Linked DNA regions of Anolis sagrei. The protein of the gene in region 2 interacts with the protein of the main gene of each other region in a pairwise test. Links are inferred from orthologs where the notes say so. Each region holds a gene or a part of one and is shown on either strand. Other genes may lie near its edges.

Region 1 (7,758 bases), on a different chromosome or scaffold from region 2:
ACACCGCAGGTTGAAGGCCTCGTGTATCTTGTCTCCTGCATATGCCATCACTTGGGGACCCCTCCCCCCCAAGCACCAACTGCCGCTCTGGGCCAGAGTGAAGGGGGGGGGCAGGGGACAGTTCCACCTTGTCTCCTGTGCTATTGTAATAATATAATATAATATAATATAACATATATTGTATATACATATAATTGGAGCCCCCGGTGGCACAGTGGGTTAAAGCACTGAGCTGCTGAGCTTGTTGATCAAAAGGTCGCAGGTTCGACTCCGAGGAGCGGCGTGAGCTTCCACTGTCAGCCCTAGCTTCTGCCAACCTAGCAGTTCAAAAACATGCAACTGTGAGTAGATCAATAGGTACCGCTCTGGCGGGAAGGTAACGGCACTCCATGCAGACCTTGGAGGTGTCTACAGACAACGCTGGCTCTTCGGCTTAGAAATGGAGATGAGAACCACACCCCAGAGTCAGACATGACTGGACTTAATGTCAGGGGACTACCTTTACCTTTTATATACATATAATATTTATAATATTACTAGCCGTCCCCTGCCACGTGTTGCTGTGGCCCACATGGGGGCTCTGTGTGGGAGGTTTGGCCCAATTCCATCGATGGTGGGGTTCAGAATGCTTTGTGATTGTAGGTGAACTATAAATCCCAGCAACTACAACTTCCAAATGTCAAGATTCTATTTTCCCCAAAGTCCACCAGTGTTCACATTTGGGCATATTGAGTATTTGTGTAGAGTTTGGTCCAGATCCATCATTGTTTGAGTCCACAGTGATCTCTGGATGTAGGTGAACTACAGCTCCAAAACCAAAGGACACTGCCCACCAAACCCTTCCAGTATTTTTTGTTGGTCATGGGAGAACTCTGTGCCATGTTTGGTTCAATTCCATCGTTGGTGGGTTCAGAATGTTATTTGATTGTAGGTGATCTCTAAATCCCAGCAACTACAACTACCAAATGACAAAATCATTTTTTTTAGTGAAGGACATACATTGGGTTGTTAGGTGTATGTTGTCCAAATTTGATGTCAATTCCCCCAGTGGTTTTTGAGTTCTGTTAATCCCACAAACGAATATTACATTTTTATTTATACAGATAATGTAATGCAATATAATAGTAATAATAATAATAATAATAATATGATATTATAATTATATATTTATATTACATGTAATATTATTAATAATATTACAGTATAATTGATATAGTACAAATAGCAATACTTAAAACTGGTATTGTACTATGCTAATAATATATTGTATGTATATATACCTTGTAAGCCGCTCTGAGTCCCCTTCAGGGTGAGAAGGGCGGCATATAAATGTCGCAAATAAATAAATAAATAAATAAATAAATAAATAAAAACCCAGCGTGAAGGCTGTCATGTATAAAGCTACAGTGTGAAGCTCCACTGTGAAGATTGAATGTTGTGTTATGGAAACCTTGTTTTTATAAATAGTGCAATCATATTATTTTGCTATAAAGAAAACCCTCCTATGGAAGAGAAAACATTGGTCTGTGTGTTTTTGTTCCTTTTTGTCACTTTTGGCAACTGGTGCTGGGTCACACTGCTGCTAATAAGTTTTTCTCCTGTACATTTATGAGGAGGGTCTTTTGTTAATAAGCCCCCTTGCCCAACAAAAGACTCCTAAAGACTCCCAGTATCAAAGCATGACTAGAGGACAACTACAACCTTCTGGTGACAATCAGAAATGGAAAGGAAGAAGGAACGGGTGTAGAACACAGAAGTCTACAAGCAAAGAGAACTGGACATACAGGCTGGGAATTATGGTTAATATTCCTTCCATTTGATGCTTGGGGAGACTAGTTGTTGCTCTTGGATCCTTTATCAAGCATACCTTCCCCTTCTGGCGACTTTCAGACATGTCAGAAAACAGCTCCCCCATTTTCTTAACAATTATCCACCAACTAGGAAAGCTGAAGGAAAGAGCAGCATGGAGGTCAAATCTCACAAGAGGACCCCCAGGCCCCCTTTCATCCCTAAGTCCCCTTCACTCCATCATCAGACCCCCCTCCCAAAAGCAGACAATTGTACTTACAGAATACTGTTGAGTTGCTGGAAGTGCTCCACAGCTGTTACGCACCAGCAGCGCTCCCTCTGACACCCGCACCCGGCGCACTGGCTTCCTTTTCTGGCAGGCTCTCCCAAGATCTCCTCCTCCTCCTCACTTTCTGCCTGGTGGTCCTCACTCATGCCGCTCTCCCCCTCGGACATCCTGGGCTCCCGACTCCTCTTCCGCCACATGTAAATCTTGAAGCTGCGGCCATAGAACTGCCGAACCATCTCCCCGAAGCTATGAGGGGTGCTGAAGAAGAGGACGGCCCGAAGCAGGCTGTGTACCTTGGCCCTGAGCGGCTGGGCGCCCGTCCCGAGGAGCAAGCCCTCCTGTGTCCAGCCCTCCATCATGGTCAGGCTGCGCAGGTAGGGTTCCAGCCGGCGCCAGAGGAGGGAAAAAGCATCCAGGATCAGGAGGGAGCACTGAGCCTCTTCGGCCGTGTTCTCGTGCTGGGACACGCCGCTCCAAAACTCGGGGGAGATGCGCGCCTGCAGATCCATCTGCAGTACCTCCAGGAACCACTCCTCCAGCGCTGAATGCAGGCCATGGGCCTTCAGCACCTCTACCGCTGCGTGAAGGTCCCGCTCCGATGGGATGTCTGCCGGCTCCGACTCTGGCACCAGCGCCTGGGAAACCACAAGAGGCAGACTTAATGGAGAAAGCTTTGAAGACTGAGCCAGAGGTGCAAGGCATGAGGCGTCCCTTGCTATCTCTTTTAGCCATTCTATGTTGTTGTAGGTTTTAAAGGGTCATTTGTATTGTTTATAGCCTTTTGAGTCACTTTGAGGCCCCTTTCATTCATACAGCCAAATGAAATCCCACATTATCTGTTTTGAACTGGGATATATGTCAGTGTGGATTCTGATGTTTCAGCTCAAATCAGATATGTCATCAGTTGGGAACCCCTCCCCCAGCACTAACTGCTGCTCTGGACCAGAGTGAAGAGAGATGGGACCAGGGGACAGTTCCATCTTGTCTCCTGCATATGTCATCAGTTGGGGATCCCCCCCCCCCCCCCGCAACAACTGCTGCTCTGGGCCATAGTGAAGGGGGGGGGGCATGGGACAGTTCCATCTTGTCTCCTGTGCTATGCTAATAATATAAAATAGTATAATATAATATAATATATTGTATATACATATAATATTTATAATATTATAATGTAATGCAATATAATACTACCACTAATAATAATATAATATTATAAATATAAATATATATTTATATTATATGTAATATTACTAATAATATTACAATATAATGGTATAGTACAATAAAGTAATATTTAATACTGATATTATACTATGCTAATAATATAATATATTGTATGTAACTTGTAAGTCGCTCTGAGTCCCCTTCGGGATGAGAAGGACAGCATTAAAATGCCATAAATAAATAAATAAATAAATAAATATTCTGCCTTGATATTCTGGATTATATGACTGTGTGGAAAGGCCCTGAGTCTTGTTAAGAGAAGAAAGCGGGACGTATAACATTATTAACAACTACAACAATAACAACAGCACATGCCCCGTCAGAGACAGAAAGTTCACAAAGGAGTGGGAAGAAGAAAGGACAGCTACAGCCCATGTTGGTGCAGCAGATGGGCTGCACTGCTGAACTTGCTGACCGAAAAGTGGTTCGAATAGCGAGGTGAGCTCCGCTGTTAGCTCTAGCTTCTGCTAACCTAGCAGTTAGAAAATATGCAAATGTGAGTAGATCAATAGGTACCGCTTCAGCAGTCATGCTGACCACACGATCTGGGAGGCATCTACAGACAACGCCAGTTCTTTGGTTTAGAAACTGAGATGAGCACCACTCCCCAGAATCGGACATGACTAGACTTAACGCCAAGGGGAAACGTTTACCTTTACTTTATACATACATATAGACAAACAAACACACATATATGTCTTGTTATACATACACACACCCATATATATCAGTGGTTCCCAACCTTTTCTTGACCAGAGACTACTTTGGCCAGGTAGCACTCTCCAACATTAGTACCAAAAGGGTTACGAATCAGTTTTTGGTCAATTTTAGATTCAGTTTGGTTATCTGGGGTGCTGAATCAGAAAATTGTATTGGATAGACCACATCAGCTCTAGTTTCTGATACAGAACATACGGCATCCAGTAGTCGCCATCTGCTCGCTCACATATTTAAACCATATTTAACTAGCCTCGGAACTATTAGAGGGTTTTGCGAGACCAGTTGCTCCCGTTGCAACAGTGTAGTAATGGTGAGGCTGTGGACCATATTTTAGGTCTTGCGGACCACTAGTGGTCCACGGACCACAGGTTGGGAACCACTGCTATACATGACCCATGAGATGTCTTCCAACTCTATGATTCTATATAATAATAAATACAATATAATGTATTATATACCACACAATAAAACATAACATAATATATTCCATACTATAGAACAGGCATGGGCAAACTTGAGCCCATGCCTGCCCGACCCTTCACGTGTCACCTGAGGCCAGTTCACACGTGACCCCCGCTCCCCCCGTGGCTGCTCGTACCAGGCCCAGGGCGGCGGGCGGGACCAGGCCCGTGCTGAGGGCGCGCCAGGCGGCGGGAAAGGCCATCCCGGCGGAGGCGGAGGAGGCGGGCTCCGTTCTGAGGCGGCGGCCGTTGAGCGGAGAAGAGGAGGCGGAGCTCTCCGCGGCGGGAGGGAGGAAGGAAGGAAGGCGAGCCCGCGGAGACGGAGGATGACCCAGCAAGGGGCCGCCCTGCAGAGCTACAACAACGAGCTGGTCAAATGTGCGTCGCTCAGGCTTCGGCCGGAAGTGTAGGCCTCGCGTTGCTATGGAGACGCGGCCTACTGTGGCCGGCGTCGCAGAGAGACCTTTGGGGCCTTTTCGGGTCGGGGCTCGGAGTCAGAAAGCGGGGACACGTGGGGAGAAAAGGGAAGGAGAGGGGTTTGGGGTGCCTCCGCACTATTAAGGGGTGAAAACGCTTCAACTGTGGCGTCCCTTCTCCCGCGTGGGCTCCTGGGAAATGTAGTTTGGGGCCTAGAACAGCGCGAACACTTTGTTTATCCAGTGACGTCATGACCCCGCCTTCCTTTCGCCTCCAATAGAAATTCGAGGCGGGTGGCACAACACAGGGCAAAGGCAGATAGATAGATTTCATTAGATAGATAAATTAAATTGATTGATAGATGGATTAGATAAATAGAGTGATAGAGTAGATTAGATAGATAGATTAGAGAAACAGATTAGATAAATTAGACAGATTTGATTGATTGATTGATTGATTGATTGATCGATCGATCCATGGATTAGATAGATAAAATGATAGGTAGATTGATAGATTGATCAGATAGATAGATAGACAGAGAGATAGATAGATTAGAGAGATAGATTACATAAATTAGACAGATTAGTTTAATCAATAGATGGATTAAATAGATAGAATGATAGGTAGGTAGATAGATTAGTTTGATAGATTGGATAGATAGATCAAAGAGACAGATTAGATAAATTAGACAGATTAGATTGATTGATAGATGGATTAGATAGAATGATCAATAGATTAGATTGATAGATCAGTTAGAGAGATTTTTTAGATACATTAGACAAATTAGATTGATTGATGGATTAGGTAGATAGATTAGATTGATAAAACTAGATAGCTAGATCAGATAGACAGATTAGATAAATTAGACAGATTAGTGTCATTGATAGATGGATTAGATAGATAGAATGATAGGTAGGTAGGTAGATAGATTAGATTGGATAGATAGATCAGATAGACCAGAAAGATAGAGAGATAGATTAGATAAATTAGATGGATAGATAGATTAGATTGATAGATTAGATAGCTAGATCAGATAGATAGACAGATTAATTAGACAGATTAGTGTCATTGATTGATGTAGATAGATAGAATGATAGGTAGGTAGGTAGATTAGATTGATAGATTGGATAGATAGATCAGATAGACCAGAAAGATAGAGCGATAGATAAATTAGATGGATAGATAGAATAATAGATAGATTAGATTGATTGATAGATAGATTAGATAGATCAGATAGATTAGAGAGATAGATTAGATAAATTAGACAGATTGGTTGATTGATTGATTAGTTGGATTGATAGATGGATTAGCTAGAGGAGATGATTAGATAGATGAGATTGATTTATTAGATAGATGAATTGATAGATACATAGATGATAGGTTGATTGATTAGATATATAATAACAACAATAATAATCTTTATTTATATCCCACCCCATCTCCCCAAAAGAATTCGGGTTATCTTACAGCATAAATAAATACAATAAGTAATATATACAAAATAAATAACAAATCAGCGAAAAAGGGAAAACAAAAAAAATAGACAAATTAAACAATAAACCGTAAAAAAATAAATTAAAACACAGTGGTTCCAATAAGTTAAATACAAGCCAAAATATCCTAATCAGCATATATCCATAACACTAAAACAAAGACCTCGTCCACTTTATTTATTTTTTACGACATTTATATGCCGCCCTTCTCACCCAGAAGGGGACTCAGAGCGGCTTACAAGATATATATACATACAATATATTATATTATTAGCATAGTACAATATCAGTATTATATATTACTATATTGTACTATACCATTATATTGCAATATTATTATTAATATTACATGTAATATAAAACATATAATTTTAATATTGTATTATTAGTAGTAGTATTATATTGTATTACATTGTAATATTATAAATATATGTATATACTATTATATTATATTATACCTATTATTAGTATAGCCTGGAGACAAGGTGGAACTGCCTTCCTGCCCCCCCCCCTTCCACTGGCCCAGAGCAGCAGTTAATTAAAAGGTATTAACCTAATCATTTTCAAAGTCCTTCTTTCAAAGTCCTCCGAACATATTCCCCCCTACGAACCATCAAGATTACTAAGATCGTCTGGAGGGGCCCTGCTCTCGGCCCCACCGGCCTCACAAGCACGGCTGGTGGGAACGAGGGCCTTCTCGGTAGTGGCCCCGCGACTCTGGAACTCTCTCCCGCCAGAGGTTAGAACCGCCCCAACAATCCTGACATTCAGGAAACAGGCGAAGTCGTGGTTATGGAGACAGGCTTTCGAAGAATGAGACAATGATCTGGATGGAAGACGGTGTATATTCGATTTTAGTATGACGACTGACCACTGTAGTTTTAAATATATGTGCTTTTTAAATGTTTTATTGTAATGTGTATTTTGATATTTTACCGATTGTATGTGTTTTTATGGTTGGAAACCGGGCTGAGTCCCTCTTATGAGGTGAGAAGCTCGGTATATAAAACTTTGAAATAAATAAATAATAAATAATTCTTAAAAGTCGTGAGAGTGGCTGCTTGTCTGATCTCCTTGGGGAGAGCACTCCAGAGCCGGAGCGGGGCTCTGTTGAGAGGGCCTTTTCCCTCGTTCCCACCAACCTCACTTGCGACGGGGATGGGATCGAGAGGAGGCCCCCCTCCAGCTTATCTTAAAGCCCAAACGGGTTCATAAAGGGGGATGCGGACATGTAAATAGGGACAACTCAAACCGAAAATTGAGAAACAATTACACGCAAAATATGAAAATTAGAGGAACCAAAGGGTGGGGGGACAGCTTGGAAAGGCACTTCCATGCAGTGTGGACACAACCTTCTTTTGAAGCA
Region 2 (8,663 bases):
TTTTAGATTATGTTGGATTGCAACTCCCGGAGTTTGTTTAGATCCTAGAAGGCTACCGGAGTCACATTCTTGCATAAATCTAATAATTCCAAACATAATAGACTCATTGGGCCACTCCCTTTGGTAGTTTTGTAACTATTTTGTCATATCTTATTTTTTTCGGATTTCATGACAAACATTAATAGAGCTTGAACATATTTTCTTATTCAGTTAATTGCCTTTTAATAATTCCATATATTATTCTCTGAAGACATCATCATTACAAGATATACAATCATAAACAATTCCACCTGCTGTGGTACCACTGTTCCCCACATTCATTACATATTACGTAGGTCATCATTTGCTCATCTGGATCTGTGCTTCGTACCCAACCAGGAAGGAAAAGAGCTCCCCTGGCTATCACAGTCACAGTGCAATTAAATTTTTCACAGCGCCGACATTTTATTTTATTTGTAAGTGTACCATTGATCTTCTGGGGAAGCTGGTGTTCCTGAACAGCTGATTTTGTATACGAAGCCCGAAGCTGCTTTAGTTCATCATGTGCCATTTCCACTGCAGACATACTAGCAAATGTCTGAGGAGTGAGAACTCCAATATGCAGGCTATGTTTTAAGTGAGAATTTTTTGGATTTTTCAAGTTGGAAACTTTGCTCCGGATGCAATTTTTGTACTTTTTATCATTGTTAGCATGAAGTGCAAAAATGTGTTGTTCAATTTCTTCAGCTGTTTTGTGGTGCTTTGCAATTTCTTCATTACTTGTTGAGGAATCAGTCAATGCTTCATAAAGAAGTTGTGTGCATTTCGCCCTCACAGCCACAATGGGACTATACTGTTGGCCTGTTTCACTAATAGAATTGGCGTTTCCCAGATCTGGTTCCGTTGTATTATCTTTCTGCACACAACTTCCAGCATTACTTGAAGGGCTTTCTGATGCCAGACTGGGACTGGCAGGACACAATTTTTCCTGCTGGTTCAATTTTCCCAAAGGGTTTATATCTTCAGAGACTACTTGAAGATGATCTGAATCCTCATTTGCATTTTCAGATAACCCCAAATGAAGTTGTACTGATGGACTGCAATGCTTTTTATAAACTGCTTTCCACTTTGAGAGCAAGTGCTTTGCCTTCTTTTTCAGGACCACGGAGGGACAATTCTTGAAGACTCTGAACACAGCTTTGGCCACATCAGTCTCTTGCAAGTCATCTATAGTGATATCAATCGTTTCAAGATATGTAAGATGAATCCCAATATCTTGGTATTTTCTTTCTGACAGTAGCTTCTCTATACAGTCAGCTCTAGATGTGAGGACTTTTGTATTAGACATTTCAAATCCTGAAAGAAATGGAAAGAATTATGTTTCTCTGAAGGCACTATACATACATCTCTATATTAATACAGACACAACAAATGTAATCAAATTGAGATCATTTTTCTGGATGAATAGATGGATTTTCAATAAATGTCTCATCCAACATTCAACCAACGTATTGTTGGAATGTCATATGTTTTCTTGATGCTTATTGTCATGTCCTAGGAGAAAAGATAAAGGTAAAGGTTTCCCTTGATATTAAGTTCAGTCATGTCTGACTCTGGGGGGGGGGGGGGTGCTCATTTCTATTTCTAAGCCGATGAACCTGTGTTGTCCGTAGACAAGGTCATGTGGCCAGCATGACTGCATGGAGCACCGTTATCTTCCCGCAGAAGCAGGTATTGATCTACTCACATTTGCATGTTTTTGAACTGCTAGGTTGGTAGAAGGTGGGCCTAACAGCAGGAGCTCACCCTGCTCCCCAGATTCGAATTGCTGAACTTTTGGTCAACAAGTTCAGTAGCTCAGCAGTTTAACCTGCTATGCCACCAGGGGACCTTGTCCTAGTAGGAAATAATTATTTTAAATGCATAAAACAAAATGAGTAACGTTGCAGCCCTATGTAGAATGACTACGTAAATCGGATAATTTATTACAGTGTAGTTCAAAGTAAAAAGAAATGGATGAACTATAAATCCCAGCAACTACAACTCTCAAATGACAAAATCAATCTACTCCCCCCCCCCAAAAAAAACCCCCACCAGTATTCAAATTTGGATGTATGGGGTTTGTGTGCCCAGTGTGGCCCAGTAAATGAAAATACATCAGGATATCAGATATTTACATTACGATTCATAACAGTAGCAAAACTACAGTTATGAAGTAGCATCAAAAATAATTTTATGGTTAGGGGGTCACAACATGAGGAACTGTATTAAGGGGTTGCAGCATTAGGAAGGTTGAGAAACACTGGATTATTTATTTATTTTATTTATTTCCAATATTTCTACCCCGTCCTTCTCAACCCCCGAAGGGGGACTCAGGACAGTTTACATTTCGCACAATTTGATGCCATTAAATATAACAAAGCAATATAACAACAATTAAACAATAATAGAACATTAATTAAAACAATAAAAACAGTATTAACTGCCGTATAACCATTCCAGTCAAATTCCATATCCAAGCGCTATTTATGCCTGCTGTCCAAAAGCCTGGTCCCAGAACCACGACTTCAATTTCTTCCTAAAAGACAGGAGGGATGAAACTGATCTTACCTCGTTGGGAAGCGAGTTCCACAGGTGGAGAGCTACAGCCAAGAAGGTCCTGTCTCTCATCCCCACCAGACATATTTGTGACGCTGGCAGGAGCGAGAGCAGGGTCTCCCCAGATGATCTTAAACTGCAAGGCGGGACGTAGCGGAATATGCATTCAGACAAGTAAGCTGGGCCAGAGTTAGCATAATCACATCTACCAAAATAATAACAGGTTACCTGTGGAAAACCTTAATTATCCTTCAATACTTCAATATGACAGAGTTTCTTGAGATCCAAACCATATGAAAGGCTGTTTGTCATATGGAGCCAAGACTGCTGGTACCAAACATAGGGTCTCAAGGGAGGACATAATAGGAAGCACTACTGAGTCCCCAAAGGCACTATTAACAGCTGGAGGATAGTAGTTTTAATACCTTGCTTTATTACTTTTGTTGCTTTGTTTTTGGAGGGGAGGCCCAGGGCCTGGATTTGTCTGCACAACTTGCTATTTCTGTAACATCTCGAAACAAGCAAAATGTAGGCCTGTAACTCTAACATCTGTCTTTACATAATCTTATTAATCCATCTATTGTTGAGCCAGAGTGGTTCAAAAGTTAGCACATCATGATTTTTGCACTTTCTGGCTGACCTAATAAAAGTGGATCTGGGATTTTGTTTCATGGTCAATAAGGCTACTCCACATATAGAATCACAAAACTGGAAGAGGCCACAACAGATGGGAACACGAGGATTTTACTCATCTCTTATAAACAAGGATATGTATAATTATTCGAAATATGATCCCAAAGTCACTTTTCCCCGAAAGGTATGATTAAATCCCTCCTCATCTGCTCACCTTATCCTTCCTAAGGAGGCCTTTCAGCTCACCCTCCGTGGCCCCGCCCCTCTCCTGCTCGGGCTCCTACCACGCATGCGTGAGTTGGAAAGAACCTTTGCGGTTCGTTGGGCAATCTGAGCATGCGCGGCGTGGGCTGTGTCTTTGCGCAGCCGCTGTTGCTGAGGGCTATCAATTGCGTCAGAGCAATTGTACTGATATCTCTTAGAATATCTGATATCTCTTTTGACTTGGAAATAAAAAGCCCTTGAAACCTTGGTGTGAGTTTATCTACATCAGTGTTTCTCAACCATCCTAATGCCGCCACTCCTTAATGCAGTTCCTCATGTTGTGACCCCCAACCATAAAATTAATGTTGTTGCTACTTCATAACTGTCATTTTACAAACTTGTGAATTGTAATGTAAATATCTGATATGCTGCGTGTAATTTCACTCACTGGACCAAATTTGGCCCAAATACCCGATATGCCCAAATTTGGGATTGGGGGAGGATTGATTTTTGTCATTTGGGATTTGTAGTTGCTGGGAGATATAGTTCACCTACAATCAAACTCCACCAATGCTGGAGTCGAACCAAACTTGGCACACAGAACTCCCATGACCCACAGAAAATGCTGGGAAGCGAGTTCCACAGGTGGAGAGCTACAGCCAAGAAGGTCCTGTCTCTCATCCCCACCAGGCATATTTGTGACGCTGGTGGGAGCGAGAGCAGGGAGAGCAGGGTGGGCTTTGACCTTCAGTTTGGGAGTTGTAGTTCTCCTACATCCAGAGAGAGCACTGTGGACTCAAACAACGATGGATCTGGACCAAACTTGGCACAAATACTCAACATACCCAAATGTGAACACCAGTAGAGTATGGGGAAAATAGACCTTGACATTTGGGAATTGTAGTTGCTGAGATTTATAGTTCACCTACAATCAACAAGCATTCTGAACTCTACCAATGATGGAATTGAACCAAACTTGGCACACAGAACCCACAGAAAATACTGGAAGGGTTTGGTGGCCTTTATCCTTGAGTTTGGGAGTTGTAACTCGCCTACATCCAGAGAGCACTGTGAACTCAAACAATGATAGATCTGGACCAAACTTGGCACACATGCTCAACATACCCAAATGTGAACACTGGTAGAGTTTGGGGAAAATAGACCTTGACATCTAGGAGTTGTTGCTGAGATTTATAGTTCACCTACAATCAGAGAGCATTCTGAACCCCACCAATTGGTCCAAACTTCCCACACAGAGCCCCCATGACCAACAGAAAATACTGTTTTCTGATGGTCTTTGGCGACCCCTCTGACACCTCCTCATGACCTCTTCTGATAAACACTTATCTACAGTGTACAAACAATGTGGCCTGAAACCACTTTAACCGCTATGGCTTAATGCTCGGGAAATCTTGGGAGCTGTAGTTTGACAAGGCTAAAGCGCTCTTTGGCAGAGAAGGCTAAAAACCTTTTAAAATTACAACAGCCACGATTCCATAGGATTGAGCCAATTCTACAATGAAATCGTATCCTTGGAAGCTAAGCAGGGTCAGTCCTGGTTAGTCCTTGGATGGGGGACTGCCATTAAATCCCAGGTGCCATACATCCACTGCCAAAAAAGCTCCTCTGACTGTCAGAAAGTTCTTCCTAATGTTTAGGTGGAACTTCTTTTCCTGCAATTTGAATCCACCGCTCCATTGTGTCCTAGTCTCCAAAGCAGCAGCTAACAATATGATGTCCTTTCAAATATTTAAACATTTCTCTTGTGTGCCTTCTTCACCTCTCGTCTCTAAGCTATTGGGTTGGGTGCTCATTTTTCATTTTTATGTTCCCAGTTTATTCAGTGTCAATTAGATTTTATTATTCTAACTATATCTGTACCCTGCTGTGGTATCTGTAAGGATGCTGCAAAAAAGAAAGAAACCTCCACCAATGCTCAGCTTCCACATTGAACTGGATTATGTGGCAGCGTGGACTTAGATAATCCAGTTCAATGTAGGTATTGTGGATTATCTCCCTTGATATTCCGGGTTATATGGCTGAGTGGAAGGGGCCCAAAACAAGTTGAAAGTTCCTCGTGCTTCTGCATTAAACCTTAACAAACCAGAAGAGGGCACCATTGGGTGTATTAAACATTATATCCCGTATTAATGTACTTTGATCAGATTTAGATCACAGCTATTCCACACTACTATGTATGCTCCCACTGGCTCCCACTCAGCCAGAAGGCATTAGGCCTATCTGTGCTCTGTAAGGAATGCCATTTGGGACTGACTTTTTAGTAGAGAGGAACATTTAACTTGACTCGCTGTATTGAAAAAAAAGTGAAGCTAGATGTAAAGGAAAAACCTCCAACTTGATGATTTGTTCCTTTCCTGACTTGTGTCATGGAATCTAGCTGAGTTTATATTAATTTGGTTTAAAGTAAGTCCTAAAGTATTTGGAGAGAACTTATTATTTTGATTTCTCCATTCACCTTTCTTTACAAAAATCTTTTCATTTTGAAATGGAATGTGATTGTGTTAAGATTCCTCGGCAGATTTCCACATGTAACTAAAACAGATCAGTACTTCTTAAAATTGCCAATCTGTGATGTGAGAAATTGGCAATTCTTTTTTTCCTGTGTGGAGCAATTCTTTTTTCCCTGGTGGTCATTGTCGACCACCACTTTTGAGTAGTACTCGACTAGACAATCCTAGTATCTCATAGGTGTAGTTTTACAAGTCTCTAGGGAAGACAGGCAGACTAACATCAGCGTTCTGGAAGAAGCAAAGACGACCAATATTGAAGTGATGATACTCCGCCAGCAACTTCACTGATCTGGCCACATTGTCCGAATGCCTGATCACCGTCTCCCAAAGCAGTTGCTTTACTCTCAACTCAAGAACAAAAAACAGAATGTCGGTGGATAGCAAAAGAGGATTAAAGATAGGGTTAAAGATGCTCTGAGGATGCTTGCCATAGATGCAGGTGAAACATCAGGAGAGAATGCTTCTAGAACATGGCCATATAGCCTGAAAAACCTACAACAACCCAGCAAATGAAGATTATGTGTTCTAATTTTATATTCCCCATTTCACTAGCACAAGAAAATACTTGTTCAACACCAACATTTTTGTAACTTTTTCTTGTCTTTTCAGTTACAATACAAGCTTAATTCTAATGAAAAACAGTATGCAATGCACACAGAGCACAAATAGTATGTGTTTTCAAAATAACTTCTTTCAAGTTTACAATTCGTAACTTATACAGATCACACTGCTTTTGGAAATGTTTTTTTCTAATTTTTAGTACATATCTGTCATCAGATTTAATATTAAACATTTGAAGATACATCTTGTTATTTATTTTTAAAACTTGAATAAGTCCCAAAAACAATAGAACTTGGACACATCATTCAGCACAGAAATATCTGTTTCATGTATTCTGTTAACTATGGACGCTTGTGAGGAGGATTAATTACAGTGCTTCTTTGTAAGAACATTTTGTGTCTACAGATTAGAAGAAAGAATAATGGGAGGACAAAAGGCAATTCACATTTTTCATATTTTGACACGCAGAATACACTTTCTCCCCATAGTGAAATATGAATAACTTAAGCAAAAATGCACACAAGAGAGATGGAACCAAACATATGTTTTCTTGCATATAGGCACATATAAGTTATACATTTACGTCCATTGATTTCAGGGTCTTAAATATGCTGATTCCCCTTTGGATTATGTTCTTCATTTCTCTTATTACAACAAGACAGAGAAACAGCCTGATCCAGCAATGTGAGAGAATGCTATTATGTAAAAAGTACCTCTGGCAAACATAGTATGAAAATTTATTGCAATGATGAGAGGAATCTCAACAAAAACATGGGCATGAATTGGTGATATGGGGGGAAAACTATGTATGGGTAGAAGATGTGGATTGAACACCCAGCCCATTTGCAGTTCCTTACCATGGCTCTATACAATTACATTTACTCCACTGTACCCTATATGTTGCTTGAAATAAAACATTCTTTCAAAGATATTGCTTCATATTCTTGTAGGTCAGTGGTTATTAACCTGTGGGCCACGGACCATCCAGTGGGCAGTGATGACAAAAATCTGGTCTGCGAGGTTCCTTTCTCTTTATTTATTTATTTATTGATTGATTGATTGATTGATTGATTTTATTGAACTTATTTCCAATCCTTTTGCGCAGCCTGCCACTCCTTCCCTGTCGCTGACCAGCCCCACCCCTCCTTAGATAGACCACATCAGCTCCAGATTATTAAAAATGGTTTTCTGTGGGCAAGCACATGGCAAATACTGGATGACATATGTTCTGTATCAGAAACTAGAGGAGATGTGGTCTATCCAATGAAATTTTATGAATCGCACCCCAAATAACCAAACCAAATCTAAAGTTAACCACAAACTGATTTGTAACCCTTTTGGTACTAATGTTGGAGAGTGATCCCGGGTCAGAGTGGTCCCTGGTCAAAAAAAGGTTGGGAACCACTGTTGTAAGTGAATGAGATAGAATTAAAAATAGATTTTTTCTTCAAAGGGAATGTTGTATACAATAAAGCACATTTATTGCAAGAAGAGCTAGAGAAATATTTTCACATTCTGTAAGACCCTGCTATAACAAAATAAAGCAACATACAAAACAAAGTTTAGCATACTATATATACAAATGTGTTATCTGACTGATTTGAGGTTCAAGATATTGTTTCTAGATTGGTATTTCATCTAGATAACAACAATACAAAATATTTATTAGTACAACAAATAATATAATAGCAATGAAATCCATAAATTCAAATATCTAATGCAAGGTGGTCTTCAGGACACAAGCCAGAAAATAGTATTACGGTATCCATTCCGATTTCTCCAGTTGTGCCTTTCCCACGTTCTGCCTCAAAGGTAATCTGATAAAATGAGGAAAATATTAATGAAGAAGTGCCAGTTGTGAAGAGTTGTGAAGAAAAAGCTCATTAGGAATATTATGTGTTCTATACATTGTTATCACCATTTTAAAGTACATACATTGACTTAATATCCTGCTGTTTCATATTCTTCTGCTATGTCAATGCACATTTTATATTTTTCTCATTTATGTACTATAAAGGTTGCATATTGTCTTCCTCCTACACATCATTATGGCATAGCAACATTCCCAGTATTGCTCATAAGAGAACTCGGCCACTTCTGTTGAGTGTATAGTGTTATATATGTAGTGTTACATGAAATGATTGCATGGCTAGTTTC

The links.
Region 1: the proteins of TCEANC (region 2) and SSNA1 interact in binary tests that used the Homo sapiens proteins (3 or more experiments, as listed by UniProt). The two-hybrid records come from large-scale screens. The link is inferred for Anolis sagrei from reciprocal best matches to the Homo sapiens genes TCEANC and SSNA1.

The regions. Positions count from the first base shown.
Region 1 is NC_090031.1:15,870,277-15,878,034, forward strand, and holds the start of SSNA1 (microtubule nucleation factor SSNA1), read left to right. Parts: upstream 1-4,758; 5' UTR 4,759-4,808; coding exon 4,809-4,860; intron 4,861-7,758. Other genes in the region: ANAPC2 (anaphase-promoting complex subunit 2), read right to left, coding at 2,069-2,712, 4,620-4,685. UniProt on the Homo sapiens protein: Microtubule-binding protein which stabilizes dynamic microtubules by slowing growth and shrinkage at both plus and minus ends and serves as a sensor of microtubule damage, protecting microtubules from the microtubule-severing enzyme SPAST.
Region 2 is NC_090023.1:91,729,310-91,737,972, forward strand, and holds TCEANC (transcription elongation factor A N-terminal and central domain-containing protein), read right to left. Parts: upstream 3,514-8,663; 5' UTR 3,425-3,513; intron 3,089-3,424; exon of another isoform or gene 3,003-3,088; intron 2,806-3,002; 5' UTR 2,744-2,805; coding exon 2,590-2,743; intron 1,336-2,589; coding exon 275-1,335; 3' UTR 198-274; downstream 1-197.